Linked DNA regions of Cricetulus griseus. The protein of the gene in region 2 purifies or fractionates together with the protein of the main gene of each other region. This does not show direct contact. Links are inferred from orthologs where the notes say so. Each region holds a gene or a part of one and is shown on either strand. Other genes may lie near its edges.

Region 1 (3,655 bases), on a different chromosome or scaffold from region 2:
GGTGACACCCAGCCCTCCTGAATTAGATCCACTTGAACATGATTGCCAGGCATCTGTATGTACATTGAATGTTGAGAACATTCACAGTGGACACTCAGTGGCAGCATCATTAGAAAAGGAAAGCCTCTGGCCTCTCCTACTAACTCAGAAACTTGTGTTGTTTTTCTGAGGCATGATCTCATGTAGTCCAGGCTGGCTGCAAACTTGCTCTTTAGTTTAAGATGGTCTTAAACATTTTTGTCTTAGACTCTTAATCCACCTCCCATGGGTGGAGATTACAAGTTTGAGCCACCATATCTGGTTTCATACAGAATCTCTGGGGCTGGGTTTTTGTAATCTGTATTTTGAATATGCTTCCCTATTCACAGCCTGAGAACAGATTCATCTTTAAGATAACAAGGAAGCTAGGTGCTGCTCTGAGCTCTTTATCAAACCATCAGGGACATAGCTCTGGGTGGGAAGATGAGGGACTAAGGCTGGCCTGCAGCTATTATTGTTGTTGCTGCTGCTGCTGCTGCTGCTGCTGGTGGTGGTGGTGTGTGGGTGTGTGCACATGTGTTTGTGTGTGTGTGTGTGTGTGTGTGATTTCATGTAGTGTCTCATTCCAACAGCCCTTGGTACCTTGTAGACATTGAATTAAGTGTTAAATGAAGAAGCCATATACTTTTAGGAAACAGCCTTTGCTTAAAGGCGTTGAGACACATTACACTGTTACCATAAGGACATGTTAGTAGGCAGAGATCACAATTGTGTACAAACCTTGAGAGAAGTATGGTGGCAGGGAGGCACTCTGCTGGAAACCAATGTTACTGTAGAAACAGAAAAAGAACTTTACTGGTATCTCAAGATGGACGAAGTCTAATAGGCTTCAAAGCCAAAAGCAGGCAACAATAAAAATAAACCTTGTAAACTGAATTTAAAAGTTACTTTTAAAATGGGGCTGTGGTTTGGGGTCTTTGAGTCGATAGAAGGACCAAGGAAGGAAGACACACTCATCAGAGTGTGTGAACAGTAAATCCCCAGGAGTTGCTGGTCTACAGAGAGAGGGTGGGTCCAGGGGGAAGAAAGTGATGGGTGCTGCTGCATGCAGAGAGACATTCACAAGGCTGGGATGGAAGGAAATCTGCAGAGGCCCTGGAATGCTATCTGTTTTCTCTATGCTAAGCACCAACACCAGTCATTAGCCCAAATAGTGATGGTCTGCTCTGCACACCTGGTCTCCTCATTGGTAGTTTTCAAGAACAAAAGATGGGGCTAGAGCTGTGTGTGGGATAATGTGCACATGGACATGGCAATAAAGAAAGCCAGCTGGGGGAATGAATGGGAAGAATTGAAGGCAATAGGACCCTGGGGCAAAGGGAAGACTTCAAGAATTTCCCCAGAGAGTTGGCAGAGGTGGACTGGTTGTGCTGGTGGTTCCATTTTCCACAGCATGTAGTGAGAAGTTGGGCTTCTTTTGAATACTAAAGCATTGGTGGACCGGCAGGTCAGAGGCCCTGGGAAGCATAAGGCAGCCCATTGGCTTGCCTGCGCAGGGATGATCTGGGTCTTGCTTGGTTCTTCTGGCCATGCCTCTGTTTCTGGGTGGTCTTATTGTGACCGAAAAATTCTAGTTTTAGAGGAAAACAATGCTTTTGAGGACAGCTCCCAAGCCTGGGTGCTTGGCCTCTGTCAGATGCAAGACACATTCTCTATTTCCCTAGAGGGGGGAAGAGAGAATACAGGAACTTCAGTTAACTGGGTTCTTTCTTTCCTTCCTTCCTTCTTTCCTTCCTTCCTTCCTTCCTTCTTTCCTTCCTTCCTTCTTTCCTTCCTTCCTTCCTTCCTTTTTCTTCCTTTCTTCCTTTTTTCTTTTTCTTTCCTTTTTGAGACAGGGTTTCTCTGTGTAACAGCATTAGATGTCCTGGCACTAGCTCTGTAGAGCAGGCTGGCCTTGAACTCACAGGGATCTGCCTACCTCTGCCTCCTGAGTGCTGGGATTAAAGGTGTGTGCCACCACCATCCAGCTGTCAACTGGGTTTCTTAATGATGTTTGCTTGTTTGTTTGTTTGTTTGTTTGTTTGTTTGAAATAAGCAAGTGAAAACACCCACCATTTTTTGTCAATGTGTCCATGGGACAAATTGTGAACCAAGTCATTCCCCACTCCCCTCAAGCTCAGAAACTCAGAGAACAACTAGACTTGCAGGTTGTTCACCAAACTCATTTCACTTTAAAGGAAAGACAGTTTTTGCCCAATGGCTCATTTCTTTTTCCCTCAAGCCACCTGACATTTGCCACAACACTAAGCTGTACTGATTAGTTGCAAATGTTAACATGACACAGCCAAGGATCTCCTGGGTAGGCAGGCTCAACTGAGGAATTATCTAGATCACATTGGCCTGTGGGTGGATCTGTGGGGGATTGTGTTGATGGTTAGTTGGGGTAGGAGGATCCAGCCCACTGTAGGTATACCATTTCATGGGCTAGGACCTGAACTGCATACATGAAGAAGGCCAGGCAGCTAACAAAGTAAGCAAACAGGTAGCAGGGATCATTCATTTCTCTGTGCTCTGGCTTATGGATATGATGTGACTAGCTACTTGAGTTCCAACCTCGGCTTTCCTGAAATATTGGGCTAGAACCTTAGATTGTGAAAGAAACCCTTTATCTGCTATTTTTTTTGGTCAGGTATTTGTCACAACAACATAAATGAAGCTAGAACACAAGACTCCAGACATTATACTTCCTTAGAACTGAGTGGTCATCCCTGACCTTTCTGAGAAGATTCCTGGCATTTGAGACAACGGGAATGCGTGCTTGGGGCTGGGCTTGGCAGATCTTGAGGGGAAGGTGTTGGAGCTCATAGGAGGTAGTGATGGCTGGGGCAAAGTTCTCTGATGCACTGTGGGGGAAGAAGAAAAAAATGAGTAGTCAGAATCAAATCTGGGGATATTTGGAGTACCCCCAAGCTTAAACCAAACCCAAGCCCCAAACCAGTTGATATGGAGAGACAAAAATCTAAAAGATCAGATATAATTAGCAAATGGTAGGAATATAACCTACCTATTTTTTCCTAGATAGTTCACCACCTTGGGATGCACTTAAAATTGCTGTTGTTCTCTATAGTGAATTTTTAATTTTATTTTTTGCACTGTTTACTTGGAAGAAACTTGCTAGTGGGAAAGTTGTGAATTCAAATTTTTATTTTGTCTTCTGAAAGCTAAAACCACATGCTATTTTGTCCATCCACAGTTACTGATTCTGGACCCATGTATGTAAGAGGGTATAAATAATAGAAAATTTTTTACCAAGACATACATGCAATTTTCTGTGCAGTTAGGTGTTCTGAACACATGAACCTAAGTTTTCTTTGGTAAACCAACCAAGTAATTCCTTTTCACTACAGCCATGAGGTGTAGCAATTGGTATATGCCTGTTTATGTTAGTTTGACATGCAGTGTTCCATACTCAATACAGAATAGGTTGTAAAAAAACTCTAAACATACCATCATCTTCATCCTGTAAGGGAAAAATAATAAAAGATATTAACTTATTGTCAATGAAGCATCCATCAGCACTAACCCCTTCTTTTGTGAGCTGCGGAAGTTTTCAAAGAGGAAGAGGAGGCAGGCTTGGAAGCAATTTGTGTGAGACTTGGACTCTACAGCATCTTCC
Region 2 (3,755 bases):
TTACTATTACACCAATGAGCATGTCTTGCCTGGAGGATTGGTATTAAAACATGTAGGGGCCAGCACTCCATGAGATCATTGATATATTTTCTTCTCAGCAGCCTACCTAGCAAGCACCTTTCAGAAGTGTGAAAGCTGACCAACAGGGAGAGTTTCCTGGACAGTTTAATTTTTATATCTCTGGGTCCTGAAACAAGAGTGGTGTCTTCAGCAATAGGATCTTACCATCTAGTTGAGGTGGGCAGCCAAGAGCCATGGTAATAGCCTGTACTGTTCTTGGGCCTCTCTGAACAATAACTCATAGGGAGGTAACTCATAAAGTCCAATGACTACTATTCTTAAGACACAGACAAATGAAGAACCATACCAATGACAATGTCTAATGAAACCAAGACAAAGATATTACCATGTGATGTAGCAAGTACTCTAATGGGGGAAAAAGAGTCTTGAGTATGTGGGTGAAATATGAGCTGAGCTTAAATACAGATGTCAGGCAACCCATGTGAAGACCAGAATGAGGCAGGTATGGACATAAGGAAAGAGGGATATCATGTGTGACTATAGATGTGTTCCAAATTAGTGAAAGAAAGCCTCACTTGTCTTTGAGGGCTTGGAATACAGTTCAGTGCTAAAGTGCTTGCCTAGCATGAGTAAAGCCATAAGGTCAATAAAAAGGGGGGAGGAAGGAGTTGGGTTACTTTTATCCTGAGGGTTGGAATGCCAATGAAATGCTTTAAGCATTTATCACAGGAATATATGATTCATTTATCACAGGAATATCTTGATGACAGTCCTATGGGGAAGGATCCCATTTGAAGAACAGTTCTATAAGAAGTTAAGGCATTGTCAGACAGGAAGTGAGAGGGGCAGTGGGGGAGGGGAGTGGTAAATTCCAAAGATCTTTGGGAGGGGCTGGGCCAAGCTGATGGGAGGTGAGAATGTGAGTCAGAGAAAGGAGGCTAATGCAGATTGCCTATGTCACATGTCGTAAGAGAATGGTGACTGTTGGGACACTGAGAGAAAAACCTATCCAGACATGTTCACCTGATGAGAAAGTCAGGAATAAGAGCCTCAGCAGGGAAAGGGAGACATGAGGACCCATGAAGGACAAGAGGCTAACAGGGAACACGGTGAGCTGTGGGGGTGGAGAGGGGGCCAAACCAGACAGGGCCTCTAGGTGCATACTGCCAGGTATGGGAACTTGCTAACCAAATCAAAAGGGTGGAGCCAGCAGGAAGGGAAGGGAGCATTGTGGTGTTATTGAAAGCCATCCCTGTGACCACTGTGACCTTCAGGATCCCTTACCCCACTCAAAAAAAAAAAAAAAAAAAAAAAAAAAAAAAAACTGGTCAAAACAATTCATCAAGAATGAAGAAAAATTGTTTCGCTTCTTGAATCTTCTATTTTAAACATTTTATCTTTTGTATTTCCTCATATTTCCAACCAAATGCTATAGTTATAAAGCAGTGCATGCTTTGTTGTGAAAAGATAAATTCTAGATAAAACAAATTAAAGTTCAAGGGGGGGGATCATAAGTCAGATATTAATCCTCCCATGTAGCCCCCCTCTCATTCTCTTTCAGATTCATAGGTGTTCTTTTTTTCCATTGTTGCTACTTATCTATATTTCTAAATACATAAATACAATCTGCTCAGTCTGCATAATACTACTTATATGTATATATCTCAGGGTTGACCATTTGGTATTGGATAATCAATTTGTGTTTTCCCTGGGAAAGACTTTCTCCTGCTCTCAGCATTCCATAGTGACTTGTCGTTCTTTGTGTAGGGTGAGGTCTCATGAACTTTTTTCTGTCCATGTTGTTTTTTTCTTTAAAGATTTTATATATATATATATATATATATATATATATATATATATAATATATGTGTGTGTATTAATTTATATAATTAATATATATATAATTTCACCTACCTGTGTTAGGACACCATGTGCAGTACCCATAGAAGCCAGAAGAGGGCAACAAGAGCCTCTGGAATGGAGCAACCATAGGCAAATTATGAACTACAATGTAGGCACTGAGAACTAAACCCAGGTCCTCAGGAAGAATAACCAATGCTCTTAACCACTGAGCCCTCTCTCCACCCCCCTCCCGATCTCTCAGTTTTAAGTCTTGTTCTCTGATGCAAATGTATTTCCAAGATCTTTAAAAGCTTTAAACTCCAAAGCTGCCCAGAAAGTTTCCCAGCTTTCTGGAGAAGCAAAATAAAGAACAGATGATAAAAATAATGCTGAAGTTAGAAGAAAAGGCAGAAGATGTTAGAGGAGAGCTACTGGTTTTTTGTTTGGGGTTTTGTTTTCACACATTACATAGGAGCCAATCGTGCATGGTGTGAGTTATGATGTTTCTCTTTATGCAGAAGTTTTGAGGTAAGGAAGAGGAAATGACCACAAAAGTCAAAGAAAATCAGCAGAACCCATGTCTGCTCTCCACTTCCACATAACCCACTTTCATCTTCATTACCAGTGAGTCTGGGCATCTTATAGCCAAACACAGCAGAGAGTAAGCACAGTGGAGGAATATGTTTCTTTGACAAACTATGATCTGAACACACTTGGCTCACAAGCCAAGCACGTAGACGTCGTGAGCTTTCACTGAGACATTCATTTGAACATCATCTGCTACACATTAATCTTGGCGGTGGAAGGGTGTGGCTCGGGCTGCCATACACTCGTCTTTTCAGAGCATTAGAGGGGAACGCAGTGCTATCAAACTACACTCAGATCCCTGGGACAGAGGAACCCATTGATCTTGGGCCAGGTGATTGCATTCTCAAATACATCAGTAAAGGCTTTCAATGCACACACAGTGGAACTAGTGTGGTCACCAGCACCATATCACCACACTTGAAATATGACTCCCTTGGCCATTGGTTTCCAGGTTGGTTAACCTATTTCAAGACTCAGGATATCAACTAAATTTTTTAATTGAGTAGAAATGTTATCATTTCTAAAAATTAAACAGCAATAATTTGCATGAAATAGCAATAATAAGTTCTACTTCTAATGTGGAAACAGAGAAACAAGCATATGGACAGGTAACAGGAGTGAACAGTAATCACTTTCCTGGTCAGATGGAATGGGCACAAGTTAGAGGTGAAATTTAGCTGGGCAATAAAGAGGGATACTGATATCCTAAACAGGCATTTGATCCTGGGAGTGATAATGCTGGGAGTAAAAAGGTTCCCCCACTTCCACTACACACCCTCCCAACTTACTATCTCTTCTATACCAACTTGTGGTCTATAATACAGCAGCACAGGATCATCATGGCTCAAGTTTCCTACCCCAGAGATACAGACAGTCATCACTTGCTTAAAACCACTCCTGTGGGAGTGGGAACCCTGAACATTTAGTAACATGTTCAGAAGTACTTAGGTGTCACCTTGGATTGGGTGGCAGATGGGAGGTCTGATGTTGACTTGAGAAAACTTTGAGTGATTTTATTTTTATCTAATTGCTCACATTTCCCTGTGGCTTATCAAAGATTTCACTGGGAAGTAACCACAAAAATAATGAAAACCGTATATAGTATATCAGTATCTTTCTAAAATTATTTTGTGTATGGTGTGTGTTTGACATGTATGTATGTCACAGGTGAGCACATTCCCTGGCATGCGTGAGGACACCTCTGGTGTTGGGTGTCACCTTTCATCTTGCTTGAAATGTGGTCTCTTTTCCATTCAGCACTGGGTACACCAGGCTTGCAGGACTACAAGCTTCCTAGCTTGCCA

Evidence for each region.
Region 1: the proteins of Fyb1 (region 2) and Lcp2 purify together in Homo sapiens (co-immunoprecipitation; 6 studies listed by BioGRID and IntAct, with this or other methods). This does not show direct contact. The link is inferred for Cricetulus griseus from reciprocal best matches to the Homo sapiens genes FYB1 and LCP2.

The regions. Positions count from the first base shown.
Region 1 is NC_048600.1:49,258,407-49,262,061, reverse strand, and holds part of Lcp2 (lymphocyte cytosolic protein 2), read right to left. Parts: intron 3,500-3,655; coding exon 3,487-3,499; intron 2,883-3,486; coding exon 2,753-2,882; intron 810-2,752; coding exon 760-809; intron 1-759. UniProt on the Homo sapiens protein: Adapter protein primarily involved in signaling pathways within T-cells, as well as other immune cells such as platelets, mast cells, and natural killer (NK) cells.
Region 2 is NC_048595.1:340,308,769-340,312,523, forward strand, and holds the start of Fyb1 (FYN-binding protein 1), read left to right. Parts: upstream 1-990; 5' UTR 991-1,100; coding exon 1,101-1,130; intron 1,131-3,755. UniProt on the Homo sapiens protein: Acts as an adapter protein of the FYN and LCP2 signaling cascades in T-cells. May play a role in linking T-cell signaling to remodeling of the actin cytoskeleton. Modulates the expression of IL2. Involved in platelet activation.